Linked DNA regions of Lepisosteus oculatus. The protein of the gene in region 1 purifies or fractionates together with the protein of each later gene. This does not show direct contact. Links are inferred from orthologs where the notes say so. Each region holds a gene or a part of one and is shown in the gene's direction. Other genes may lie near its edges.

The links.
Region 2: the proteins of dhx15 (region 1) and fus purify together in Homo sapiens (affinity purification with mass spectrometry; 4 studies listed by BioGRID and IntAct, with this or other methods). This does not show direct contact. The link is inferred for Lepisosteus oculatus from reciprocal best matches to the Homo sapiens genes DHX15 and FUS.
Region 3: the proteins of dhx15 (region 1) and ddx5 fractionate together in Homo sapiens (co-fractionation; 3 studies listed by BioGRID). This does not show direct contact. The link is inferred for Lepisosteus oculatus from reciprocal best matches to the Homo sapiens genes DHX15 and DDX5.
Region 4: the proteins of dhx15 (region 1) and sf3b6 fractionate together in Homo sapiens (co-fractionation; 3 studies listed by BioGRID and IntAct, with this or other methods). This does not show direct contact. The link is inferred for Lepisosteus oculatus from reciprocal best matches to the Homo sapiens genes DHX15 and SF3B6.

Annotation. Positions count from the first base shown.
Region 1 is NC_090696.1:62,447,000-62,454,310, forward strand, and holds the start of dhx15 (ATP-dependent RNA helicase DHX15), read left to right. Parts: upstream 1-4,298; 5' UTR 4,299-4,412; coding exon 4,413-4,483; intron 4,484-7,311.
Region 2 is NC_090699.1:5,217,369-5,224,820, reverse strand, and holds the start of fus (RNA-binding protein FUS), read left to right. Parts: upstream 1-4,446; 5' UTR 4,447-4,547; coding exon 4,548-4,560; intron 4,561-7,196; coding exon 7,197-7,221; intron 7,222-7,452. Other genes in the region: vkorc1 (vitamin K epoxide reductase complex subunit 1), read left to right, coding at 779-888, 1,244-1,455. UniProt on the Homo sapiens protein: DNA/RNA-binding protein that plays a role in various cellular processes such as transcription regulation, RNA splicing, RNA transport, DNA repair and damage response. Binds to ssRNA containing the consensus sequence 5'-AGGUAA-3'.
Region 3 is NC_090704.1:45,522,335-45,529,604, reverse strand, and holds the start of ddx5 (probable ATP-dependent RNA helicase DDX5), read left to right. Parts: upstream 1-4,257; 5' UTR 4,258-4,417; coding exon 4,418-4,458; intron 4,459-5,207; coding exon 5,208-5,376; intron 5,377-5,726; coding exon 5,727-5,823; intron 5,824-5,943; coding exon 5,944-6,077; intron 6,078-6,395; coding exon 6,396-6,461; intron 6,462-6,571; coding exon 6,572-6,713; intron 6,714-6,801; coding exon 6,802-6,962; intron 6,963-7,045; coding exon 7,046-7,218; intron 7,219-7,270. Other genes in the region: centrosomal protein of 95 kDa, read right to left, coding at 1,480-1,501. UniProt on the Homo sapiens protein: Involved in the alternative regulation of pre-mRNA splicing; its RNA helicase activity is necessary for increasing tau exon 10 inclusion and occurs in a RBM4-dependent manner. Binds to the tau pre-mRNA in the stem-loop region downstream of exon 10.
Region 4 is NC_090697.1:38,316,329-38,323,655, forward strand, and holds the start of sf3b6 (splicing factor 3B subunit 6), read left to right. Parts: upstream 1-4,322; 5' UTR 4,323-4,435; coding exon 4,436-4,465; intron 4,466-4,925; coding exon 4,926-5,044; intron 5,045-7,005; coding exon 7,006-7,144; intron 7,145-7,327.

The DNA of each region.
Region 1 (7,311 bases):
GGAGGTCATACAATGAATCAGGAAATGGAGACAGATATGACAATATGGGCATTGTTTTGCAAAGGCACTTGGGATTGGGCAGAGCCAACAAGAACAGAAAGCTCATAGAAAGCGGTAATTTCTCAGGTACTTTGAATAGGTTGACCACTGGGGGACAGGTGTTTCCCAGAAACCTGAAAGTGAACCTGACCATTACAGCAGAATGGGAGTCCCAAGATCAGAGAAAATATTTGACTGTACCCGAGGTCCTTTAAAAACATAATTAAGAACGACAATTCGGTACATGATACAACAACATTATTTGTTGATAATGACGGCAATATCAGTTACTTTTTTAAAAATAAAACATAAAAAATTGCTTGGGTCTGGGGTGTATTGCATGCCACACCAGAAGAAGTAAAATATTCTACAAATAGCTATGTCTTGCTTAAAAAATTACAAAAGGACTGAGAAATAAAGTATGACTAACATATCAGCTATCCCGTGTAATATAATATACTGTTCTTTTCACTTTTTGTGCTAAAAGCTATTTTAAAGTTAGAGCCTTTATAAGTTTGAATGCAGCCTAATTCCTTATTTCTAACAGGGAAAAATATCATTTCACTCTTCTTTTCTTTGTCAGAAGTCATTTTATGTTGATGTTCATCTAGGTATTTTCAATTCAAGTGCCAGTCATTTTAGCTATAAAACAACCCCCTGCTCTTTCCCTTCCTCCTGCAAAAGGTTCCTTTTCCTCTGTTTGACAGCGAGGCTGCCAGGCAGTCCTATTTCACACACAATTGGACTGTTATTTAATTGCCTGTGAAAGAAGTGGAAAAAAATGGCTGGTATTTTAAATTAGTTTTGAATTTGGAACATTAGTAAGGCTTACTTGTAATGTTAACTTCTTCTTTCCCATCACCATCAATCCCTAGTTACAAGCAATGAGCCATTTGCCATTACAAAGATTGTTAGCAATGCCCAGGTTGTGTAATTACCTGTGTCAATTGCAATGATTGTCTTAGGTGTCTACCGATTCATCACTACATAATCCAATAGCTTTTAAGCTGCATGGGATCTTATTAAAGTGGCTATGTCTATGGGGGCAGTGTTTTTAACGGTCTTTGTTATGGAATATAAATGTCCCATTAACAGACTGATTGTTTACATGGTTATCCAATGTTGCAACCAAAGTTTCCTGTTGAAAATAATTTATTTTTTGTTTGCACCTCACAAGTATGAGCAGAAATAATTTTAGATGCTATTTAATAACTTTTAATAATGATAAAATTGCAATTACTTTTGGCTAAGGATCTGTGCCTGTGGCTGGAAGGTTGTCGGTTTGTATCCCATGGCCAGCAGAGGAATCCTATTCTGTTGGGCCCCTGAGCAAGGCCCTTAACCCCAACTGCTCCAGGGGTGCTGTATAAATGGCTGTTCCTGTGCTCTGACCCCAAGGTTCTCTCTCTGTCTGTCTGTATGTCCATGGAGAGCAAGTTGGGGTATGTGAAAAGACAAATTCCTTATACAAGAAATTGTATTTGGCCAATAAAGTGATCTTATCTTATCTTATCTTATACTGTTGGTGAAAAACAATACACAGATTTTACCGCAATGGTAAGGAAGTACACATTTAATAAACAATACATTACCTCCAGTTGTGTTGAAGATTTTTCAGAGAGGCAGGGCTATGACACTCTCCTCACCCCAATCATTTTTCCCATCATGCATGTGGCCCAGGTCATGATCTGCAAAAAAGTAAAGCTCGCTCCCACATTGCAGACGTTGCATGACTGTTTTTGGCAGAGTAACAGATTCTGCTCCTTCCATGGCCAGAAAATCTACCACATTTGTCTCAGATTGAACATTTGTCGAACAAAGTGATTCAGTGTCTTACTGCCTAGTGAACTCTAAACAGATATTTATGGATTTGCTGAGGAGCTGATCAACATTTGGAACACTCCAGAAGCAGTCAGCATCAATAACATTACAAATCACTGCTATAAGGTACTTGCAGTCACCAATGCTAATGGTGGCCCAACAACATACTTACTGACTTTGTGATCTGCATTAGCACCATCCATGTCATGTGTTATAGGGACCAAGATATTGGACTTAGATTAGGACGTATGCATTTTTTGGGGGAAAGCTTCTTACATTAACTTATTCTCTTGTATATCGTATATCTCACAATACAATTGCTATTTTCTGCAGTTTCTTTTTTATGGTAGTACAGTACATACGGTAGTCTATATGACTCTCTCTTCTAAATACCCCAACACATATTTTATTGTAGTTAAGTTGCAGTTATTCATTACTGTAATTTAATGCAAGTAGATTAAACTCATTTGCAAAATTAATGACTCAAAAATATTAATAAGTTTAATCTTGTTATTATTGAGAATCGTCTACAAAAGCATAGGAGCTGTTCTCAGAAATCATTTCTGGGAGTTTTTTAAGATTTATACACCACCATCTTTTTCCTGGAAAGATCAACAGCCTGGGGCATCAGTTTCTAAAGTTTCTATAGAAGAAAAATAATAGACTAAATTAAATAATTAAATAAATAACTATCAAATTACATGTTGACAGCCAAGGAAAACCAGTAGGTTTATGCTTCACTGGTGTACACTAGGTTTATCACACTCTACTGTGGAGCATGTGCAGTGTTATGGTAGATTTTGTAGTGCTCAAGCTCATCACATCTTAAACAGAGTTAATAGGGTCCATAGCTATATTGTTTCAAAACTCAGGATTTCTCAAGTTTGCTCCAGCCTTGAATGAACTTCTGTTGGTTGGAAATGCACTTCGCGAATTGCAAAACATTTGCAAATGCATGTAATTTCTTCAGTTTTGCAGGAGACCATGACCATGATACATTGTTTTCAATGAAAACTGCATCTGCCCTCCTCTCACATTTTGTTTTTTGTGAGAGATAGCCAATCAATCCACAGAGTAACCAGGAAAATATATGCTAGATATTTTGCAATTCCTACCAATGTGGTCATTAGCTAGAGAAGGATCATTTTGTTACCTGTTGTGGGCACCAACATGTTTGAATTCAATCTTATTCCATTTCATTCTCTAATGTAAAACCAAATGGATGTACAGTAAAAATGCTTCCTAATTTAAATGAAGAACAGGGAATAGACCAAATTTAAAGCAAATAATTTTATTTTTAAGTGGTACAATACTCTAATAATACTTTCTCTAATAATACTGCTGAAAAGCCAGAACTATATGGAAGTACATTTTAAATCAAAAATAGAAGACACGTCTTTACACAAAGGGTTGTGGGAGTTGAGGAACAAGCTACCAGACATTGAAGCTAATACCTAGGCCCCTTTTAATAAAGGCCTGATAGATCAATTAACTGCTAATACGGCTACCATTTGTTTATAACTAATCTTATGTCCACTGGAGCCGAGGCTATAATCCCATCTCCTACCCCCATGGACCCCTCCATTACAGTGTATCCATGGATGTTCACATAGTGTAAGTAAAAAATATGAAACCAGCACTCATTCATTTCCACAGTCATTACTTATCCAGCTAGCCTGAAAATTGCATATTGAATAGTTGAGAATTCATGTTTTGCCTAGTTAATAATGTCTGAAAAAATGCGTGACCACTTTGGATTATATTCTTATATAAAGTTATACAGGAAATTAGTATTTTACTTACAGTATATTGCCATATATATATATAATATCGTATATATGTGTGTAAAAAGGTACATTGTATAAAGTTAGGCTGTCCTGGATGTCATCATGAAATGCATTACTTTTTGGTAACACAGATATGATCTCAACAGTCTAAACATAATTATGAAATCTAACATCAGCAACATAATAATAGTTTAATTTTGAGTACTGGTGAAGACACTTAGCATGATGAAAACAGTTACGCCGGCGTTGTAAACTATAACAGTTTGCAACACTATACGCGCTAGGCCTATCTACGCGATAGAACTAAGTTGTCGAAACTGGTATCGTTTTTAATTAATACAATTTTGAGTGCAACGAAGCCCAGAATTGACACCAGATTTTCCCTAGTCAAGAACACATCCACACGTCACGGAGGGAACAGAGGGGCGGGAAGGTTACTGTACTGTCTTCCTTCTTCCGGCGGTGCCGGCCGGCTTTCAACACTCCGCACCTGATGAGCTGTACCATCCTGGACTCAAATATTTTTATTTAATACATTTCATAATTACATATTTGTGGAAAATAAAAGAAAATCAAACACATCTATATATTTTAATGAAGGGGTTATTTTCATTATTTTATGTGAAATAATAAAGACGAGATGAGTGGTTCCGGTCGCCATCTTGTCGCCTGGTGCTGTGACTGAAGAGGAGGGTTTGTTTGGGAATAAGTGTGCATTTCAGGTGTATTATTTTTTTTAAATAAACCTTTTCCCGGTCAAACAGTATGTCCAAAAGGCATCGGTTGGATTTAGGCGACGACTATTCTTCTAACAAAAAAAGATCGTCCTCTGACTTGTAAGTTAATGGTGTTTTTTATTGTTTGGGTCCGGGAAGATGGGTTATGCATCTCGGCGCCTTCCTCGGGTCAGCGAGTACTGTGCAATAGCAGTCTCGCTCACCGCTGTTTTCCTAAAATCCGAGTTTAATACTCTTGGAATAATACGCTTGGAACGTATTATTTAAAAGTTAAAGTGGCTTTAATTTACCAAGACGGGATTACAACACGTCTTATTTTGTTAGACATGTATTTTGTTACACGTGGGATTCTCTTGCGGCCTGTATGCGGTTTGCAAACAAAATGCTCGTCTTGCATCGAGTTTTTAAACTTGCAGAAAGCTTTTTAAGTCAATCGTGTCCATTGTAACACTGAGGGGTTACGATATGCGCCGCCTCAGTCGTGTTTGTCCTTTGCTCAAATGCTCTCTCAACACGTGTTGGTAGCTGCAGTTGTTGTTGCAGACGGTATGTGATTGAGAGCCTCCAGCCTGTGTAGGTTTCCGTGCAAATATACGTTTTGGCGATTAGTCTATGATAAGTAAGTCTGAGGCATGTTTTTAAAACTTCCAACAACAATGTTTAGTTTGCGGTGGGCCGGCATGCGGTGAACATGGTTTTCTTGTGACATCTGATGATGATGGTTTATGCCTTTATGGCCTTATCCTCGGTACATCTCGGTAGTGTTAATGCAACAGCCTTGCTATAAACTAGTGGCAGCTTAAACGGGCGACGTTGGCGTGGTGTAGCTTATTTTATATTTTCTTTTTGTTTTGTCACTGATTACGTTGACGCTTATGAATATATTAGAAATGGACCGCCAAAAGTGTGGATTGTTGTAGTGGGCTGGGGGCACTGGTCTGCTGAACGTCCCAAACAACAGGCTGATTCACTTGAATATGTACTGAGCGTGAAAACAAAATGGATCATTCTGTTTTTGCAAAGCACATGAATTTTGGATATTGATTGTTTTGGGGGCATTAAATGAACCGATCTTGATGATTTCGTTGTACAAGAGCTACATTTCTTTATTAATGATAGGGGGTGATTCAGCCTATGGAATCCTTTGTGAATTGTTAAAAAGCTAGGAATTTGCCAGTCATTTTGAATATTTCATATTCAGTCCAGATTAGACTAAAGTAATGAATGTTTGCAAGTGGCACAGATGTGCAGATCTAGAGCAAAGTCCAAGTTTTGTGGTCTGGGCAGGGGTGTTGCTATGGAGTGCCTCAAGCAATTTTATCACTAATTTGCCACATGGCATTGTAAGACCTGCGACCTCACTTGCTGTCCTTCCTGCATTCACATCCTGATATGACAAAATTCCAGAAGGACAGCTCACACATAAATCATATAACAAGTGAAGGTTTATTCCATGCTGAAAAGAGAATAAAAGAAAACACAACTTTTCGGCCGTGGAGCCTTCTTCAGGTGTGAGAGCCTGAACTAAATCATATAATAGCCGGCCTGAACTAAATCATTAATTAAACCTGGACTAAATCATATAACAGCTTTTTTGTGAAGTGGGAACATGGGAGATATGACATAGTTGCCTTTTCTACAGATTTGATGCCCATTGAACGTATATGGGGTGGCATAATGGCCCGGTGGTTAGCATTGCTTTCACTCACAGTCCTGGGGCCCTGGCTTCAATTTCAGACTTGGGGTGCTTTCTGTGTGGAGTTTGTATGTTCTCCCTGGCTTTGTGTGGGCTTCCTCTCACAATCCAAAAGCGTACTGATAGGTTAATTGGTTCCTGGGAAGCTGCACTGTGGTTTATGAGCGTATGAGTGTCTCTGTGTGTGCCCTGCAATGGACTGTCACCCCAGCTGGGGTAGATCCTGCCATAGGCACTGGCTCTCCCGCAACCCTAGGCTGGATTAAGCGGTTAGAAAAGGGATGGATGAACATATGTGGGATGAGTTAAGACAACATGGCAGGGAAGAGGCACATGCTTGTTCAAACCCTGAGAGAGGAATAGGACAGAATCCCACAGAATGTGTTGCAGGTGTACAGCTTGTGCTACTTCCAGTGGTGCCCCCACAACCTACTCGCTTGTGACTTTTACTGTAGACCCTGTGTTGATCGACTCTGGTGATGATGATGATGTATCGGCATAATGAATTTACCTGTGTGTCCAATAATATGTCAGTGTAGTTGCACTACAAATATTTTTGGTACCTTTGCAAATATGTTGTTACTAAAGGTTTCTTTTAATGCTTATTGTATTTGAAATGAAGTAGCCGATCTTAAAGAATTACACGCGTCCAGCTGTTAAAGCCTGAAAGGCAATGGCCACCTTTATGGCTGTATCAGAAAGCCATGGTCATTTTCTACTGTGGGAAAATGTTCTGCTCTTATTCACTCAAAGCACGTAGCTAGATTTTGGTTCCATCATGTACAAGGATCTTTTATAAATAAAATCTGTGATTTTTGAAGGTATCCCCAACACTACTCCCTGGAAAAATCGAAGATGCCACAAATTATAACGATTAAAAAAAAAACTTAGTAATGTTTCCACCTACTTTTAGAAGGTCTCACATCATGCCCACCTGTTTGCAAGGAATATTAAGATTTTGAATTCTGTGACTATGCCTATCATATGCACAGTTTCAAACTGAGGATATTATTGAATATTGAAGTAATAGGCCATTGATTGACAGCAGCATTTTGTTTGTCAATCTTGAATATTCTGTAAATCTGACCGTGTTGCATGCTAGTTTACTCAGTAATGCCAGGGGTCTATTTATGTAGTGTTTCCAAAATAAAGGTAAATTTAATAAATGTAACTACCAGTCTGATAGATCAAAAACTCTATATAAATGCTGGTAAAGAGTGTGAACACCCTG
Region 2 (7,452 bases), on another chromosome or scaffold:
ACTGGAGCCTCTGGAGTTCAAATCAGAGTTTCCTGTGTCGCTTTATTAACATTTTGAATTGAAGTAAGAGACAAGATGTGAAAAGGGTTAACTTCTGCCTGAAAATTAGACTTGTAAGCAACAGGGGTTTATGGCAGGAAAGGGGGTTAACTGATAAGGATTCCAGATGCGAGCAAGGAACCCCCTGGGGGCATAATCTTAAACTGACCATTTGGCCAGGGTCTCTTAACTGGCCAAATACCATGACCCCCCTTACCATAACATCGAATAACATCTGAAGCAGCAAGCAAGGACTATATAACCTAAAAGTTTGTACCGGCACATCGAACAATACTTCGGTTTTGTTGTTTCTTGCGGGAAACAAGACTTCGGCTTTATTGTTCCTTGCATGCAATAAACTCATCTGTTTTACTTCATCTCGGGATCCAGAACCTTATTCTTTCTGTTACAACAGAATCATGTATGCATTTCGATTTTTATGCGTGTGTCAAGCGGGACTGGGGATTGGGCGGGGGGGTCCCCCTCAAAGCACAGGGCCCTGGGCGGCCACATACCCCCCCCCACCCCGAGCCGGCCCTGGCTGTGAGGCAGAAATATTAACCACTATGTAACCGTGCCCACCTGAAAAACTGCGCCTAACTCTAGTTCCAGATATAGATCTGGACTCTCGGACAGACCGCTCCCCAGACGCGTGCCGCGGGAGAGGTGGCCAGTCCGTGCCCGTGCCGGTCTGACGACGGGCGGGGGGCAGTGAGGTGCACTTCCCGATGTCTTCCAGGTGGGGGCGCGGCTTCGGCCTGGTTGAGCTGGTGGTGGGGGTCGACAGCCTGGCGAATCAGCCCAACAGTGTCTTCGGGGTCATCTTCTACGTGCTGCAGCTGGTCCTGGGTACGAGACTCCCCCCGTCCCTGTCTGTGTGTGTCTCAGTCTGCTCGTGTGAGCTCTCTCTCTCTCTGCTCTGTGACGGTGTGTGAACCCCACGTCCTCCATCTCTCTCTCTCTCTCAATTCAATTCAATTCCAGGTGCTTTATTAGCATGACTGATGGGTACAATCAGTGTTGCCAAAGCAAATAAAACTAATAAAATTAACATGGAACAAAACAAAAAATAGAAGTAAAATAAAACCTACAGACATGTTACAGACATTTACAACTCTCTCTCTCTCTCTCTCTCTCTCTCTCTCTCTCTCTGTAATTGAGTGTATCAGTGTGCTGCAATAGTAGTCTTCCTCTGTGTCTGCAGGTCAGTCGCTGTCCAGCAGGGCGGCGCTGTTGCTGGTGCTGACCTCCTGGCTGTCTGTGGCTGGCTCCCTCTACCTGGCCTGTATCCTGGTGTTCGTGCTGTGGGATTTCTGCATGGTGTGTGTCAGCACCTACCTGCTCAACTTCACCCTGATGTACGTCAACCTGCGCAGACAGAGAGCACTGAGAGCTGACAAGGCCAAACGGAGCTGAGAGAGAGGAGCTGTACATGAACACTCACACTGACACACACACCATACTGACACATTTACACACTCACACACTGACTGAGACACCCATACTGACACACTCACACTGACACATTCACACACTGAGACACACACACTGACTGACACCCATACTGACACACTCACACACACACTGATTTACACACATACACACTCACACACACTGACTGACACACTCAAACACTGAGACACACACACTGACTGACACACACACACAGACTGACACTCACGAAAGAACATGGGAACACAGGACGAGTCACAAACGCAGGAGTCATCCAGCCTGTTTGTTAGTTAAGAGCTAATTAATCCCAGAATCTTTCCGAGTTGTGTCTGGGTATCAGCTGCAACAACCCAGCTGGGCAGCTTTTTCCACTCTCCCACCACCCTCTATGTACAGAAGTGCCTCCTGTCCTGACTGGAGCATCTCTTCCAGCTGTACCTTGAGAGAACCCGGGGTATCAGCTGCAACAACCCAGCTGGGCAGCCTGTTCCACACCCCCACCCCTCTCTGTGTAAAGAAGTGCCTCCTGCTCTCAATTCTAAATGCTGCTTCCTATAGTTTCCTTTCGTGTGCTCTGTTTTATATGCCACTGCTTATTCTCAAAACCTGTTACATTCAGCCACGAGCTCCCACAGATCGGAGACCTGTTCAACAGGTGGCTGATCGATAACTGTGACTGGGGAGTGTTACAGGATACCATCAGTGTTACTTTTTTTTTTATTCTGGCAAAACCCCAAATAAATCTTCTTCAAGTACCTTTGATGTGCCTCTCTGCTGATTTTCGTTCTGAAAGAAGGATTTTACTCTGCGCAGTGAGACAGAGGAGGGAAATCTAAATCACACACACACACTCCCGTCTCCCGTTGGGGGTTCTGTGAAAGTGGGGGGTCTCCACTATTCTCTGGTCTGCGTGCTGTCTGCTCAGAGGCACACGGACCGCGTTCTGAGCGATGGACTGCGGGGCGAAAACACTGGTGGGGTTTTACAACTTCTCCTGACAAAAGAGGGGGTGATCAAGGAAATTGGAAGAGCTCGGGCGCAGAGCGTCTCAGTTCTCTAACTCTGTAGTTCTCAGTCCTGATCCGGGAGAAACACTGTCTCCTGGTCTTCACTCCAGCCTGGGCTCTTAATGACTTTATCTCAGACGATCTCAGTCCTGATCCAGGAGGAACACTGTGTCTCCTGGTCTTCGCTCCAGCCTGGGCTCTTAATGACTTTATCTCAGAGGATCTCAGTCCTGATCCAGGAGGAACACTGTGTCTCCTGGTCTTCACTCCAGCATTCCTTAAGTTATGTGCAGACGAGTTGGCCACAGTTTTTATGGATATTTTTAATCTTTTACTTTTAAAGTCCCCTGTTCCAGTGTGTTTTAAGAAAAAAAAACCACCATTGTACGTGTGTTGAATAAATATATTGCAACTTTGAATGATTACAGACCGGTAGCGCTCACATCTACCAAAATGAAATGCTTTGAAAGGCTGGTGATGAGCCACATTGACATCATGATACCGGAGTGCTTAGACCCCCTGCAGTTTGCACGCCTGTGTAACAGGTCCACTGATGATGCTATTTCCCTGGCTCCTCACACTGCCCTGGCTCATTTGGAAAACAAAGGCACACGTCAGACTGCTACTCATTGATTACAGCTCCGCCTTTAACACTATCGTTCCATCCAGACTGGTCACCAAGCTTAATGATCTGAGTATCAGCTCTGTTGTCTGATCCGGGTGTCTCTCTGCAGCTGGAGTCTGGATTCCTGACTGGCAGACCACAGACTGTGAGGGACGATGGAAAGCTATCTTCCCCGCTGACCGCTGATATAGGTGTCCCTCAGGGGTGCTTGGTCCCCTGCTGCTCTCCTTGTTTACCCACGACTGTGAGGGCCAGACGCAGCTCCAGGGCGGACACACAATTTCAACCCCGGTTGGCCCAGCTGTGAGTGTGTGTGTCTGTTACTCGCGCGTGTGAGTAGGTGAACCACCACCAGGAAAGAGCACAGAGAGGTGACCCACACGGAGGCAGTGAGAACATGCAGACTCCACCCTGACAGCGCCCCAGGGATTGAACCCGGCACCCCCAGCACTGCGCCCCTGTGCCGCCTGACTTTCATTCAATGGTTTCCAGTCCCGATCCTAGAGGACCACTAATTGAATTCAGTTCCCTATTTGGGGAATATTGTTAGGTTTCCCATCAGCTCCTGAAAGGATTTGGGATTGGGTGTCAATGCTGTACCAGTTGGAGATGAAAAACGACCCTCATTCAGACAAAGACGCGGTTCCAGCCCTTAAATATTTACACATCGCATATGACAATATTCACACATTACATTTTCACCGCTTTCTTTTCTTAGGTGATGTATGTATCAGAAACCGGGTCAGATGAGGATAACTGGGGTGAGATATTTAATAGAATGAGGATGCAGTGTAATCCTGTTCTGTTGCAGTGCAGAGAGACGAAGAGTTTACAGCCGCGGTGCCCTGTTACAACACACCTCCAACCCAGAGCCGATACGAAGCATCGCAAAACCCCATGTTAATCTCTTAATGAGAGGCGGATTAAGGGAGACCGGCGCTATTGTACAAAAACGTGAGGGGGTTTCTGGCACCCTCTGCTTCGTTTCAGTAAATGTATAAAAAGAGACAAACTTTAAAAAAAAGTGAATTGTTGTTCTCAGACGGGAATACGAACAGCAGGGACATCTTTTTTTCTGGTGACGGGAGGGGGGGGGACTGTTCGATTCGGGTAGTTTCCCAACTGCACCGCCTCCTCCCCCCAGGCATTCAAGGCAAGTGGTCTCGTCCAGCCGCAGGTTTTAAAAGTCTCCGCGCGGCGGCCCGGTGACGCAGTTTGTCCTCAGTGTCGAGCTGCGGAGCTGTGTCGTCTTCGGCGCCTTCGAAGTTTCTTTTTATTTCTTTCTCTTCTTCCCTCCCCCGCACCCCCCACCCCATCGGCTTTCTTTATTTCCCGTATTTATTTTCTTCGGAAGCAGTTTGTGCGTTTGAGGGAAGAAAAGCGCGGGCGAAAGAGTCGCGGAGCACAAAGACAACCCGACCACCATGGCGTCCAACGGTAAGAAAATAAAAACACAAATTTCTTACTTTTTTTTCTTTAGAAAATACCATCGTTTTATTTGTTTTTTAAAAAGTGGCCTTCGCCGCCTGCTGTGCGAACTCGTGGCCGTTAACCCGCCTGCGGGAAAGAGGCGGTTAGCCTGTGGGTCTAATTCATTTCAAACCTCCGCTGTCCGCGCCGGAGTGAAACAAGCGGCTTCTCCGGTTCTCTGCTGTGTGTAAGTGAAAAGTCTCGACGTCTGAATTTGAAGACGCTGCCGGGGTCGTGGCTCCGGGGAGAGAAACGCGTAAAAATCACACAGTTCGGGGTTTGAACGTGTGGGTTTCTCCTCGCGTCAGGGGCTCCGCTCGCCCCGGCCTCCCGGCTCTGTGTCGTTCTGGTTGTGCGCTTTTTTTGTTGTTGCTGAAATCGGGTCCGTTTCCGGCCGGCTGGCTGGGCTGGCGGCGGCGGCTGTTTTCCCTCCCGAGAGAAGGGGGAGAGGCGAGACAAAAGCGGGGCTGTCGCCTCTCCGCGGCCGCCGCCATCTTGCCTCCCCCTTTTGTGCGCGAGCTGGCGCGGGGTGTCGCGCCCTCTGGTGCGCCTCGCGCCCCCGGGAACGAAGTGTCCGGGCCGCCGAGGTGTGATTTTGGGGGGCCCCGGGGTTGAGGGAGCCCCCCGGATTTGCTGTGGGGGAGCAGGTGTGTGTGTGTGTAGGGGAGTGGGGGCGGGGCGGAACCGGCCATGCCGCGCGGAGCGGCGCCTCCATCCGGGTCATCCCGCTCAAGATGGAGCCGCCGACTTCCGCTTCCGGCCGGTGTGGAGATCGGGAGAGGGGCGGGAGCTGATCGCCGCGCTGCTGCCCCGGCTTCTCAGGCCGCTCGTTACCCCCCCGGTGACGACACGAATTCATTGGCGTTGTGTAAGGAAGAAAAATGGAGGAGTTCCGAATTAAATCACGAATTTAAATGAATTAAATTTAATTAAATCAATTAAATCGAGAGTTCGTGTGAATTGCGCTGGAGAGGCGGCGGCCCTTCCTGCTCACTAGCCACCTCGATGACGAGGGTGATGGAAGAGCAAATCAGCACAGGCTTGCGCAGCAGACGATTCACTACTGGGATGTTCCAAAGTGATCCTTGTGCAGCGTTAACAAGTAGTATTTGTCGCCAAAACCATCTCAAAGTCGAGAGCGATATTGCAGTAATATCCAGTCAACGATGTTTCTGTTGGCTTAAAATGGGCGTTTACCAGCACGCGTGTTTACAATGTAATTAGGCTGCTTCACGTCGTTGGGTGCCCCCCCCTCACTCGTTCTAAATCACAGACTTGGAAATGGTCTATTTTGTGATATAATTGCAGGTTTTACACGTTGTGCCTTTTACTTTTAACGTGGTTTGAAATGTACTCATTGCGAATTCTTTCTAACCCCAAAATAAAAAAAGTTGCAGTTCTGCTTTAATACGTATGCTGAAAAGCAGCTGCAAGTGAGAATAGTTTAATCAGCACATCTAGTCTGTTTGGTCGTGTGTGCTCATCTGAGTGAATTGTGCATCACCCAGCTGTGTCAAGAGGGGAGTCAGCGTATTGGTCTCAACAACAGGGCTGGGCAGCTTGTTCCCCTCTCCCACCACCCTCTCTGTACAGAAGAGCCTCCTATCCAGGCTGGAGTTGATCACCCAGTTGTGTCAAGAGGGGAGTCAGAGTATCGGTCTCAACAACAGGGCTGGGCAGCTTGTTCCCCTCTCCCATCATGCCTTTTCAAAATTGATCATGCAGCACCCCTACACTGCCGAGCAACCGGGGGTATAGTCACTGAACTCCATTCAGACCACCTGGGTTCAAGCGCAGTACAACTAAGTTCTCTTATATTCCTGCAGCCATTGACCTGCTTCGTGTGCTCGATGGATTGTATTTTATTTTTCATGACTGTCCCCCCCCTTCACAAACGTACGGTTTGCTGCTACGAATCATGCGAATTGTCACGCGCGTTTTGAGTGGCAAAGGCCACTTTCAAAGCTACGAAGACGTGATGCAAAGAAACATTTCGAAACCTCAGGCAGGTCGGGGGAGGGAGGAGGCAGGCGACTGGTTTGGTATCGGGTGCTGGCACCGTCGGGCTCCACTGCCGGGTCTGGCGTGGGTGGGAGTGAGGACACTGCGGCTTCGCCTGCTCGCTCCTGTGTGCTCCTGCTTCCCCCGGGCCCTGGAGGGGCGAGGAAAGGGCCACTGTGTGTCGCTACTCACAAAGCAAGTGAAGTGGTCATTCTGAGGTCTAACGAGATAAGCAGTGGATTTCATCAGATAAAAAGTAAACCACAAAAAAAGTTTGTCCTTGGTGTTTCTTGTCATTTTTGGTGAAAATGGTTGAAGGGGGACTTTCTTGGGGGTCTGGAACAGCTTGTTTTTCTTTGTAAGAGATGTTGGAATGGGTTTTTCTTTGTATGAGTTGTCACTTTGCAAAAAGGTTTCTGGGAACGAATTACGTTCGTGAAAAGAGGTCCAGGTCTCTTTTTTTCCTCATCATACTCGCACGTCTGGGTGACTGCTTCATGCTGTGAATTTTGTCCTTCATCTGCCTGTAAAACGCGTTTCGCACCTGGCACAGTGCAAGTGTCGCCAAGTGACTGACCCCCCGTTTCTCTTTGTTTTTCCAGATTACTCCCAGACTGCGCCCCAGGGGTGAGTGACTCTGTGTTTCTACTGTAACTGTGCCAGCCTGCAGCTGATTAACGTGTTTTATACAGTGACTTAAAAAATGATTTATCCAAGTTTTACAATAAGAGGAATGGAGCTAAAAGGAAGAACAGCCAGGGTTAAGAATGTAGTGGATCATGGGTCGGCAATTCGTTTTTTTTGCAGACCCCAGCTTGTTCTCCGTGAGACACGGGCTCACAGACAGGGAGAGAAGCT
Region 3 (7,270 bases), on another chromosome or scaffold:
TCCTTTGGAGGGGTTGGCGTGATAAATATATGACGCAATATTATTGTTTTCATTTAAGGCAACCGGTAAAAGTAGTTCAGTTCAGTTTATTGCCATATGCACAAGGGAATGCTTATTTGCGTGTATGCTCCAATACAAGGACATTAAGGAAACAAAAAAAAACCATAAACACAGAACAGCAGCAGCAGCAACAAGTTAAACAACATACAATTAAAAAAAAACATCTGTGTGAGCCAGTGGTAGGGGTAGAGTTCAGTGATCAGACAGCTTGTGGGAAGAAACAAGCTGCCGGGTTACTAGTAGTAGTAATACTAGTAGATGGCAAACAGCGCGGCACCAAAACCATCTCGACTGGCGGATTGATTAATGGTCAAGAAACTGACAGTGGCGTCCTAGCTACTGGTAGCTCGGTTTGCCATCGCTACAGACACACAAGCTGCGCTCCAGGGTCTGGAAAAATAAATTTACCATCCCAAACAAAACTGTGCAGGACCCCGGAAAGGGGGCTGTGGCACAAATCAAATGTAGAAAAAGCGTTTTGGCGAGAAAGGGGTGAACACAAGCCGGTCTATAAGCGTCACTAAATCTTTGTTGCTCATCGGCCAAGTTAGTAACTGTTGCCGCTGCAACAGCAGGGACCGGCGCCAACAGTAAAAACCGCCGCTATTATCCCGCAGTTAAAACACGATTCCCACTTCAAAAACTCCTTATACGTGCCGAAGGGTCAACGCTTTGTGTACAGGGACTCTTACTGTTGTACAGCCCCGAGTACTGTCAGCTACTAACCGTTAATTAATTTACAGCGCACTGTACTCTTCTCCCGAAGCGAAACAGTGCCACTGGCAGCCGACGATACAGTACGCCTGCACTATGAAGAGCAAACATCTATAAAAGAAAGGGAACGGCTTCTAGCAGCGAAGTGATTAAAAAAATAAATAAAATCAATAAAACTACACAGCAAAAACAGAACCACAACCACAACATACCCCCTGTTCTGTTGGGCTTCTTGTTTTTGCGATCTACCTGATCTATCAAAACACTCCGTGCTGATTTGTAATTTCATTCAACCCAAAGCGGGCACCCAGAAAAGTAGCCGAACAAAAGGTGACATTTTCTCGAAAGGCCCTTGTCCCATTCAACCCTGGGTATAGAGGGATATTTATCTTATCCAAACGGCGCTTTAAATTATTAAGCAGATGCAGCAGCTGTATTGAATACAGCCGCAGCAGCAGCAGACCAGGACAGAAGACAGATAAAAATCTTTGTGCTAGCCCGTCCCTCGTCGTGATATAACCTGTCCGCGATCTGACAGCCTTTACAACCACATCTTTGAAGCACAGACGGAACACGGAACAGCTGGGCAAGACCGGTGAAGATAAACGATTTCGTCTGGGGTTTTATTTAAAAAGAAACGCAGGACAGGGTCTCAAGAGCGCCCTGTGGGTTAATCTGACAGAGGAGGGGTTCCTTTCCACTGACCTTTTTCCTCTTGCGTTCCCATGAATGGTATGTTCCCAAAGCAAATCGTTATGTGTCCAAAACCAACAAAAACGAGAAGTGCAGATGAGGTGGTGGATCTGAAGATAACGCACAGCTCTGTAGCTCAGCTTCACGGTCTGAACCAGCCTCGGACATTTAAAACACGGGAGTCTTCCCATTGGCTGCCGAGAACAGCGCCCCGATCCCGGATATGACGTAAAGCCAACGGAAAACCAAGAAGGCGTCAAGAGCATTTTTTCATTTTTTTTCCATTTAAGTGTCCTCTTCTCGCGATCTTGTTTGTAAAAATGCCGATTTTTTTTTCAGTTTATTTCACACTGCGCATTTCTTGTTTTCGCCCGTTAAAGGTGACGCCCCCATGACGTTTGGGTTGACGTCATTTCCCGGCAAAGGAAGGCACAGCCGGTTGCTGTGCTGTGCTGTGCTGTGCTGTCCTGCTGGCGATGCCTCCGAGCTTAGAAATAGACCCTTTCACTAAAACAAACTGTTTTTTTTATATAGGTGCGGTTACAGATTCCGTCCCGTTGGTGTACTTTTTGTAAAAACGGGATGGTTGATTCCAAGTGCTGCTACCAAAATGAATTTTACGTGGCAAAACACGTAAAATAAAAAGTCCAGGAAATGACCCAACTGCACACTTCCTTGGAGACGGATTAGACAGGGCTGTTATTTACAGAGACTCACTGGACACGCTGGTGACGGAGGCTGGGTCTTACCCTGTAAATACATCGCGCAAATTGCGATTCAGACTCTCGGTGTGGTCGTGTACTTGGACTAGGCGATAGACTATTGAGAACCGGAGACTGTTTTTGTATTTCAATAAAGGAAACGGTGGTGGGTTGTATTGCCCGTGCCCGGGACAGGTGCTGTTTAACAAAATGCCTTGTTTGAGATACGACTAGGGGGAGGACACAAGTGGAAATTATTGCAACACCTGTACCTTTTCTGAAACAGATATTGAAAGAACATTTTCTTCTCCCGTCACGGTTCGACAACCTCCTGGCACTTGGTATGTTCTTGGCCAAAATAATAGCAGTATTCGTGGACTTTTGAGGAGTTCAGGTGGGTAGCTGCGTCAGCCTGCGCAGGCTGCAAAGGAACAAGTAACAGGTTTATTCCCTGCTGAACAGAGAAGAAAGAAAACACAACGTTTCGGCCGTGGAGCCTTCTTCAGGTGTGAAAAAGTATCCACGGCCGAAACGTTGAGTTTTCTTTCTTCTCTGTTCAGCAGGGAATAAACATGTTACTTGTAACTTTTAAGGATATTGTTCTTGGTGTTCCAAATCCAAATCCAAGGAAGTTCGTATAATGGTAAACGTCATTCTGATGTTAGCAAAATATTACGTGTAGAATTAAAAAAAAACTACAATGTGCTTTAACTCACCTAAGCTATACTCAAATTCACAAAAAATATTTTAAAAATAACCTTGACGAGTTGGTCTACAAAAATCTTCTGGCATATAAATTTAATGTAACCCCTAACACCACTGAACCTCGGTACTGTGGAGAATTTGTTTTTTGTTTCACTCACCTGATGTTACCGTTGTTCTATCATGTTGTGACATTTGTATGTAATAATAATAATTGCTTACACGTATATAGCGCTTTTCTTTACAGGTAATGGGGATCCCCTCCACCCCCACCTGGATGATGCTCCAGTCTGCTCCCCACACACCAGCTCTCAGTGGGGAGGAGAGCAGAGTGATGAAGCCAGTTCAGAGAGGGGGGTTATTAGGAGGCCATGACTGGTAAAGATCAGGGGGAAATTTGGCCAGGACGCTGGGGTAACACCCCTACTCCTTAAGAGAAACACCCTGGGATTTTTAATGATCACAGAGAGTCAGGACCTCGGTTTTACGTCTCATCTGAAGGACGGCGCCTGTTTACAGTACAGTGTCCCCGTCACTATACTGGGGCATTAGGACCCACATGGACTGCAGGGTGAGCGCCCCCTGCTGGCCCCACTAACACCTCTTCCTGTTTATGTATATACCCCTGGTTGTTGTATTTCCTTCCCCTTTTTGCATTTGAAAAATAATAAAAACCTTTTAAAAAAGTGTAAATTTCCTGGGCGGGGTGGGGTGTGTGGGTGGTTAGAAACGCCAACATTTGGCGCTGCTTTACACAAATAGGCGTGAGGGCGTGGAACAATCTACTCAACCACGTTGTCAAAGCCGACACCCCGGCTTCTTTCAGGAACGGGCGGATGGGGCGCCCGGATCAATTCACTGCCACCCACCAAACGGGCTTTCTGGCCTGAATGACCTCGTCTCGTTTGTGACCACGATTGCGAATGTGCCCCACGTCCCCACACACCGAGCAACAATAGTGAAAGACCCTCTAAAGGCGGTTAACACGACGCACCGACGCACTCCTGTCGTATTTTTTTGTTTTGTTTTTGGACTCAGACCAACTACTAAAGTGACGACGACGATTAACTTCTAATAACAAAGAACGCGTTTAAAATAACCAAACAACCCCCCCCCCCAAAAAAAAAAGATCCTAAGCCACCTACGTTATATAGCATTTTATGGAGCAAAACAGAAAATTGGTCATTGTAGTTGCCACTTCCACAGTACTTTTGTTTGTGTAATGCAACAGAAACGCTTGCTCTCCAACCCCATCCAGCTCGGCCGCCATTGCGCGCAACAGAGCAGCGTGAGGTCATAGTACCGGCTGCAGGCGGAGGGATACGCCATGTGTGCTGCGGTCTCGCGAGGCTCCGTTTCCTGTTGCTATATAAACCGGCTTCTGTGCGCGAGGAACCGGCATTTTCAGCGTTACCACTGCCGGCAACTGAGAGGAAGGATCCCGCCTAGGAAGTCGAAAATTTAAGAAATTAGCCAGTTAAACGCTGCTGTAACGCAAGAATATATATATCTATTTTTTAAATCCCAAGCTTTCTTTTTCCCGCATCATGCCTGGTTTTTCTGACAGAGACCGTGGGAGAGATAGAGGGTAAGTCGGGGGGTACGAATGTAAAATGGCTGACACGAGTTTGATTTGAAATAAAACGTGATGTATGTTTTGGGTTTGTGTATTTTGCGCCGATTATTCTGCTTGTGAGTTAGTGTGGCTAGTAGTCGGGGTTTTTTTTTTTTAGAAATAATAGGTCGTTTTTCCCGGGGAACGACGATCGACTAATCTGTGTGCGTGTGTGTCTGAAACGTCTCGTTAGTTTAAAACTGTTAGTGTTGTAGTTTGACTGTGAACGAGTGACGTGGATTTCGGGGCTTGGGTCCGAAATGCGGGTGTGGGAGGAAAAAAAACATTCCTCCATTTTTTTCCCCCCTCCCCGGTGTGCTCGCCATGTGACGACGGGTTCAAAGATGTGGAGACAAAATGCCGGCCGGCCGGCGTCTTTGTTCCTCTGCTGGTCAGAAGCAAAATGGCAGCGGCTTAAAATGTGACGCAGAAACAAATCTTAAAAAGGGGGGCAGGCGTGGGTGCGATTCGCACAGGGACGTCGCGGAGCCGAATCTTTTCAGTGCAGGTTGCCGGAATCTCATCTTTAATCTTTTAAAGACGAATCCCCCACCCCCATGGCACTGTAATGATGGCGCTTACGTGGCCCCGTTGTTTTACCCAAGCGAGACGCATTTCTCGCCGCCATCTCGGAGAGAGCTTCTGCCGTTTTCGTTGTGTTTTTTTTTTTACATAAAAACGTCTTTCCGTCTGTTGAGCTTCCCGTTTTGCCGTCGTTTCAGTTTTGGCGGCGCGCCGCGGTTCGGGGGCAGCCGAGGCGGGGCCCCCCCGGGAAAGAAGTTCGGGAACCCCGGCGAGCGGCTGCGGAAGAAGCACTGGAACCTGGACGAGCTGCCCAAGTTCGAGAAGAACTTCTACAAGGAGCACGCCGACGTGACCCGCAGGACCGCGGTGAGTCGCCCGCACGGGTGCGGCAGCCTCCAGGGGTTGCGATGCGGGTCCTGAGACCGTTGCTGTTTTATCTCTTGATACCCCCCCCCCGGTTAAAAATGATTTAGGACTTGGTGATGAAGCAGTTAGGGATTCCTTGAAGGGAGAAAGTAGGTGTGAAGACTCACCTGCAGGTTCAGTCTCCGTTATCCCCCCCGGGGTGTTTCGCTCCTGTAACTGTCCAGCTGGAAGACTTGCGTAAATGAGAACGTGCCGGACGAGGGCCGCTGGACTGGGCGGCTGTGTGACGCTGTAGCTCTGGAGGGTGGTCAGTTTTTTTTTTCCTCAATGGGCTTATTTTCTTACTGCAGCAAGAAGTGGAGCAGTACAGGAGGAGCAAGGAAGTCACCGTGAAGTGCAGGGATTGTCCAAACCCCATAATGAAGTTCCATGAAGCAAGCTTCCCATGTAAGTCTGAGCCAGGATGCAAACGGAGCACGCTTCCTGTTTTTGTGCTTCAAAGGTTTAAGTGCACTTGAAGGTGCTTTGAAGTCCTCGTTCAAGTCTAAATCGGTCTTCCTTTTCCAGCCTATGTAATGGACGTGATCACCAAACAGAATTTTACCGAACCTACCCCCATTCAAGCACAAGGCTGGCCGGTGGCGTTGAGTGGGAAGGATATGGTTGGGATTGCACAGACTGGATCTGGGAAAACGCTCTCGGTAAGGTCAATCGTGACGCCTTATAGGAAGGGTTTTAACTGATGTCAAGTCTAGGTGTGGAAGGTGGTGGCAGAATCCTAGGAATGTGCTTCTCGTGTTGGAGATTATGGTAATCCTGTAAAGGTTGGTCACTTGCTCACTGCCCCCATTTGGAACACCGTGCAGCCCATTGTCGATCTGACTCCTGCCCATCCACATGAGTCAATATAATGTAGTCTTTTTCTTTGATTGTAATAGTCCTTAAGTTAACTGAATTCAATTAACTTAACATGTTTATTAAATGCCATGTTCCATAATGTTCAAATTCTTTTGTTGCAGTATTTGTTGCCAGCAATTGTACACATCAACCACCAACCATTCCTTGAACATGGAGATGGTCCCATTGTAAGTGTTTCAGTTTACACAGCGATTTTTTTTTTTTAAAGTGTTAATGTTTCGCCAACCTAAATAAATTCCATCCTATATTCTAATATATTCTAACCCCCTTCTTACAGTGCCTGGTACTGGCTCCAACCAGAGAGCTGGCTCAGCAAGTCCAGCAGGTTGCTGCTGAATACGGTAGAGCCTCCAGACTGAAGTCCACGTGCATCTATGGGGGCGCCCCTAAAGGACCTCAGATCCGTGACTTGGAGAGAGGTATGTCCATACTTGTCTTGCTCGGGTCCGTTGCTGTGGTTTTCACCCTTCTGGGAGCAGATAAAGAGCTCTTCTCCACCTCTTGTAGGCGTCGAGATCTGCATTGCCACACCTGGAAGGCTCATCGACTTCCTGGAAGTCGGAAAGACGAATCTCCGCCGATGCACTTACCTGGTACTTGACGAGGCCGACAGAATGCTTGACATGGGCTTTGAGCCGCAGATCAGGAAGATCGTAGATCAGATCAGGGTAGGTCTTCCCACTCCCGAAGCTTCAAGGTCTTGCTGGGTTAATGCTGGAGACAAATTGACTTTTTATTTCCCCCCTTCCAGCCGGACAGGCAAACCCTGATGTGGAGCGCTACCTGGCCGAAGGAGGTTCGGCAACTGGCGGAGGACTTTCTGAAGGAGTATGTCCAGATCAATGTGGGGGCACTGCAGCTGAGTGCCAACCACAACATCCTGCAGATTGTGGATGTGTGCAATGATGGGGAGAAGGATGACAAGTGAGTTCCAGAGCTGTTGTTCCTGTTTGAGTTGGGTTGGGACTCCAGACAG
Region 4 (7,327 bases), on another chromosome or scaffold:
AGCCAACCTCCCTTCAATCGACTGTCCTCTGTTTTCAATGTTCAGATATGGTAGCCCTTGTCATCTTAAACTTACAACATTATTGCTGAAGCTCAGTTACCCATGATCAAGTTTTGTATCTTTTGCCATTATTAGAAATACACGATTTGTGGGAAACATGTAAATTAAATAACATTTAATCAAAACTACAACGTTTTTGTGAATACATGAAGCATTGAGAATTAAAACGTTGTCCAATTTATTGTACTTTTTTACATTCTTGGACTAATCTCTAGATTATTTTGATACTGTTTTGGCACCAAAATAATATTATCATTTATCCATCAATCTATTTTCTAACTACTTTTTCCAATTCAGGGTCAAGTGGAAGCAGGAGTGTGTACCTACAGGCAAAAGCACAAGGCCAGGGTACACACTGGAGGGAACACCAGTCCATCACAGGGCACATACAGACACAAACAGAGACACACACACTCACACCAGGCCCAGTTTTCCCAGAAGCCAAATAACCGACCAGTATGCCCTTCGACTATGTGATGAAACTGGAGAACCCAGAGGAAAAACACATGAACATGGGGAGAACATACAAACTCTATGCCAATGGCAACCTAGGTCTGGAATTAAACCAAGGATTTCAGTGTTATAAGGCAGCAATGCTAGCCACTGTGACACCCTTGAACAGACATGATGTAAGTAAATCAATTATGCTGATGAACATTTTTTGTTAAAGTGGTTTATCAATAGAGTGTCTACTCTACTATGAAAGACACAAGCCAGTAATATGTAAGGCCACAGTGGGAATAAATACAGGTATAAGCTATACTGTACATCTACAAGGCAAGGTTTGCTCCAGGTTGCAGATACTGTCTTTTCTGATTCTGTCCCATTCCTCTCCTGAAGCCTGAATAAGGATGTGCCTGTTCATTGGTCTTTGCCACATGGCGTCTCAAGTTCAACTTCAAGTTTTTTGTCATATGTACCTAAGCAGAGTGAAATACTAACTTCCATGCTTTCCTTACATGCCAAATGACATAACATTGACATACAAAATGACAGAACAAATGACATCACCTGAGGTAACATAGTTCATCCTCCAATTAACATTTGACATAAAAGGCATTGATTTCTTTAAAAACGGGATATATTGCTTCTTTTCTGTGTGTTTGCTCCCTGATTTGCACTAGACTTAACACTCAATGGATTAAATCATCTTTCCAACCAGCCCATCATTCCATGTTGACCTTCCTTCTCCCACTAACTAATGAAGGGACAGTGCCTTCTCCTAAGCAAAGTAAGCAGGCTCCCAGAACTCATGGTTTTTAAGAGGCCACCATTCAAACTTACACTTTCAGCTGACCCTGGCACATTATGCTTTTGCTGCAACACTCGGTATTGTGTCCTTAGTGCTCTGAGCAGGTGTCAATAGAGGAAATGACCAGTGTCAATGAGAACCCACAGTTCCTCAATGACTTATGGGATGCACAGATTGTTCCCACTGCTGATCAGGGCCCTGTTTTATGGTTTCCACTGTGATAGAGTCAACAGTCTAAAATATGTTTTCATTATTATAATTTCTCTGATTCTCTGAGGCTTTTTTTTTCCGGTGCTTGTACTGTTGCTGCAGGTGTCCTTTATTGCCACAACCCCAGAAAAATGGTCATGTAACTTCTGTTATTTAGGTTTATGGTTTGTGCACAGGCAAATGAGTCTTCATTCTCTGCTGTCCTCCTTGGTGACAGCCAGACAGGATCCTCCAAGGATATCCAGGGCCAGGATGAAAAGCTCACTGCGGATGACTGAGTGACATAGGTTCTTTAGACATAGATCTGTGGTTCTGTCCAGTCAGATAGCATCTGCAGCAAATGATCCAAGACACATTTAAGTTGCTTTGTTTCTGCTGGTGTCTGCTGGCAGTGCTTTTGCTGTTCGTTGATATGTAAGCTGTATGTAACAAATATACCCCTGCGTATAACAGGGATCTCAGCCGCCCTGGCTGGGGGAGTTCTCCTTTAGCTCAGCTGCCAAGTTCCCTGTTGCGTGACACTGGAGACCCGGGTTCATGCCCACTGAGGGACGGACTGGCAGGGCAGGAGCGGCAAGGAAGGAAACCCCAAGAACTGTTACATGTACAATAAAGTATTGATGTTGTCTGTTGTAAGCAGAAATTGGTTTTAATTTTTATTGCTGAATTGGTAGCTTTCTCCCTCACCAACTCTCAGAGTCTCCCCAGTTACCAAAGTTGCTGCCCCGCCTTTTGGAGTCACATATAGCTCACATTGCCATCAAAAGTTTAGCACTGCTCTAGTGAACATTTTGGAAAACTGCTGTCCTTTCCTTTTGTCCTCCTCCATAGAGGTATGAGCTTTTTTTATCTTAAAACTAATAGTTCACCCTCTTGTGTCCCTTTGTCAGAACTTAGAAAATGGTGTTATCCCATCTTCCTTCTGTCTGATACAGGCTACTGTAACATTTCTTTGGGTTTCCTCCTTTGCCGCTCCTGCCCTGTCAGTTCGTCACTGCCTGGGCAGGAACTCGAGTCTCCGGCGTCACTCCAACACTCGAACTTGCCGACCGAGCTCAGGGGCGTATTCGTTACACTAGCGATTAATGTGGAATTGTGAACGTTGTGACTTTGAAAACAATAGCTACAACCAGAATTGCAATACTGATTCCTTATTGAAAAAGAAAATGAAGAAATACTGCAGCTCAGATAAAACTGCAGATAGATCAACATAGTTTTCCCAAAACATTTAAAGCACAGACTTCCCAAGTCCGAGAACAGCTCCCCTGTGCTGGAGAGTATACCTCCTAGGGCTGCAATGCAAAAATGGAGTGGAGGAATTTACACAATCATACAATCATACAAACCTACAAAGCAGGATATAATACAATATATTTTCATAGATTATCTATCTACATTAATACACGTACGTACAATTATAATAACACCGGTGATTATGTCTCTGTAAATAACATTATCTACTACTTTAATACATGGAAATTATTTTTGCAATTTCAAGGAATTCACACACGAGCATCTCAACTCACAGACGTTCCACACCTCCTGGGTAGATGGCGCTAGAAGATGCAAGGAGGATTAAAACAGTTTACAAATTTCAAATTACAAATTTCTTTGTCATGACGCTCTATGGTTGTTTTGGCTGCTCTAATGCTTAGCGACTTGTGGAGCTGTGTGGCTGTATAGACTTTTCAGCTTGGGCGAGATGTTTCGTTTGAGTGAGACTTTGAATTCTAAATCGACTCTGCTTTTCATCTACAGGTTTTTTTAATTGGCAATTTTTATACAAACAAAACTTATATAATTGTAAGCACTGTATATATGTCGTATATACAGTATATTGCTTTAAAATAATAGTTTATGAAGAGGCTAATGCTGAACTGAAGTATCATGTTATCATGATCCTTTCCTAAAAAAGAGGACATTGGCTGAGATATGGCTGAGAGTATCTCCCCGTTTACCAGGAGAAAAGTACATTTTGATTATGGATAACGAGAATCGTGTTAGAGCAAGAACTGAATACATAATTATTCCTTAATTCTTCCCACCCCTTTAAAAACTAAACACATTTATGTTAAAGTTATTAACAAAATATATAATTCTAAGGAATTTCCAAGGAGGTTAAACTTGGACTGTAACATCTGTATTTTTCTGAGTCTGGTATTAAAGCTATTGAACTGATTTTTTCCAAGTCATTATACAACAGGCTTTTGGTATTGTTATGTTTGTTCTTGATTAAAAAGCAGAACTATCCTTATAAATTTAACTTATAAGGGCATTGTTCTTGCTCTTATGAGTAAATACAGTATAATGTTAATACATCTACTGTTAATACAGTATAATGTTAAATGTTATATTAATAGTAGCACAATTTACACAGAGTACTTAAAACTTCTATGTGCTTCAAATAGTTTATAAATTCAATTAGTATGCAATTTTTGGATAGTGTAAAATATAAAAATATGAAAACTGTTTTTCGCAATTCCTTCATATACAGTATGCTTATTTTATGTGTCATACAATGTAATGTTGAAATTTCCAATCTGATTTCTTGTTCTATTGATTCATTCGATTTTTTAAATTTGTATACTGTTGTAAATAATAATAATAATAATAATAATAATAATAATAATAATAATAATAATAATAATACGTTTGTTTTTTTCCGCTGGAGTTCACGCAGACCGGATTTTATTGAACGTCGAAGAATACACCAAAGGGAGAAGACGACAAGAGTCTGCATAGTGAACGTACCCTATAAACATTACCCTTTAGATTTACGATAGGAGAGACGTCATCACTATGCGTCCATTTTCTTGATCACTCTTCCTGTGAGACAACGAGGAATCAGGATTGTAACCACTGTTCGTGGCGTCTTTATTTTTGTTAGTAGGATTGTGGAAATAAATCGCAATCATGGCTATGCAGGCAGCTAAAAGAGCTAATGTAAGTTGTTTTAAATATTTTTTAAATCTTTTTCAATCGTGTATTTGAGTTATTATGTTATTTGTGTTACTGAGCTAACTGGGCCCGTTTTGCTAAAATCTTGTTTGTTTCAGTAACTTATTTGTTCGGTAAATGTTTATTTAAATAAGAGCACAATCACATAATTTATAAAGAATGGGGTTTGTACTTCGATGGAAGTACAAAAAGACTATTTTTTTCCAAACATGCATTCAACGTGTATCAAACTTGTAATATAAATGTTTGATTTCCCTCTTTCTCTAATATACAACAATAATGTACTAATTAGCAAAAGGTGCTTTTGATAAAATGGTATTTTGACGCTCTTTAGTCAATTTATAAATGGATATCTTCTTCAGGATTTCTTAACTAGTTTAAAGTGATTATATGAAGTGTCAAGTTTGAATTATTTAAAAATTATTTTGATGTTTCCTTTTGTCAGATTCGATTGCCGCCAGAAGTAAACAGAATCCTCTATATTCGTAATCTTCCTTACAAAATCACAGCGGAAGAAATGTATGATATATTTGGAAAGTATGGACCAATACGGCAAATCCGAGTGTAAGTGTTATAAGGTGTTTTTTTTTTTAATATGCCTTTCACTTAGAGGGCGTAAATGGATACATTTTAAGAACTACCACAATTCATGTAACTGCCAGTCTTAATGCACATTATAATTATGGCTTTGGACAAAATAAAATATTCAAAAAAAGTTTAATGGATATTTTATTTGTATAACGTAGAGGTAGTGCAGAGTGATATGTCAACAAGAATCACACTTTAGCGTCTGGGTTTGGGAGCAGAGGCTAAAAACAAGACCACCTGTTACTCTTTTCGCACTTTTACAAGTGATCTAGACAATGGGTTTCCACTCCTGGTCCTGGAGGGCTATACTGCTTTATCAGTCGTTTTTTGCTCAAGCCAAGCACAGGTTACACATTTGAACCTTTGATTGACTTAATAATAGTATGAGTTTGAGCTGTTTGATTGTTTACTCTCTTAATCGTATCGGAGATCACCTCTTTGCTCTTTGAGTTTTAAAAGTAATATAAAATCCCAAATGTCTTAAGTACAAAATAAAAAGTTTCCACACGTTACAATCAAGCAACGTGCTAGTTCAATTAAAGCTTCCATTTTCAATTTGAGGTTATTAACCTTGGCTGGAATGAAAACCAGCAGGACCTCCAGGACCAGGATTGGGAACCCTCCTCTAGACTACTACCTGTATTTTCTTCATGTTAGGAAGATGGATCGAGTGCCATATGAGCATTGATGTCAGGGTTTCTAGCTTTGCAGCAGATTTGGTTGCCCCTATTTTATTATTTGTTTACTTAATCACTACCTAAAGTTCTGTTATATTGCCTTGTAATGTGTGGAGCTGCAGCTACCAATGTATATTGCTTGTAAACTCAATTTATTACAAATGATTTTTGGGAATGAAAAGATTGGACAAGAGTAAAGACTGGGGACTCCAAAAGAGCAAAACGTGTTACAGCTTGTGTTTACCAGTCATATCACTTCCTACCTCAATTAAAATTATTCCCATTAATTTATTATTTTTTCTTGGGTATGATTTTTCCCAAATTCTGTAGAACTTCTGTTCATGTTCAATGTCAGAATTGGGCTAATACTGCTATAGATCACTTTCTCCAACACAATTTACATTTGCTTTGGATGAACTTAGTTTCAGGTTAGCATTGTTTCCTTTGTTACAAACAAAATCATTGTTATAAATGGCTTTTGCTTGGTGTGTTTTGCAACACTCCCACTGTTAACACACACCATCAAGTTAAGGTCTAATGTTACTTTTGTATAGAGTCTCTTTTACTGCATATTTCTTTCATTTCCAATTGTAGTGAAATTTGGATCTTGGGGTTATCTGACCCTTAGATTTAGTATGCATACATAGATTACTTCCCTCATGAGAAAGCTCAATGTTTGTAGCATGTTAGATTTCAGATATAAGCATACAAATTGAAAACCTATAAGAATGTAGACAGTTTAAAATGTATAAATATGTATTTTTATTTTTTGATTAAATTAATAATACAATAAATTGAATAACTGAAGAAACCTACACGCCTGTATGTATTCTCACAATTGCATAAGGAATCCAAAAAATAGAATATTCACAGAGATTGCAACCTACCAGAAGAATCAAGGTGAAGGTCATGCACAAGATTATTGAAAATGGCTGAAATTGTGATTTGTCAAATTCTTAAAAATAAAGCAGTACACAAAATATAGCAGTGACAATATTTTGTGATTGTTTTTTCTGTTAAACTTTTTTTTACATTTTACCTGTTTAATTCTAAGTGCCAAATAGAACTGTTGTGATATTGTCATTCTTGTGCTGGTGCTAGAGACTTCAAAATGAAAATAATAACAAATTACAAACTTAACCTTTCAATTTCTTCAAGGGCTTTTATTGAAGTCAGGTGCTTTTATATTTTGTATGTTTTCATATTATTTTTGCATTAACGTTATTTACATTTCATTAATCGGACATATTTTTTTCCTAGTGGGAACACACCAGAGACAAGAGGAACAGCATATGTTGTCTATGAAGACATCTTTGATGCCAAGAATGCCTGTGATCACTTATCTGGATTTAATGTTTGCAACAGATATCTTGTTGTCTTGTACTACAATGCTAACAGGGTATGCATATTAAAACATTGCTTTTCAATTATTGTTTTTAGTGTAAAAGCAAATGAGTCCATTTTATTTGAAGATTTAGATCTTCAGATGGAAGAGATATAGTTCACAAAAAATGATATATGTACATGACAAATTATTGAGTGTTGCAGTATTTCCGGATGTTTTTTAGGTTATCTATGTTTA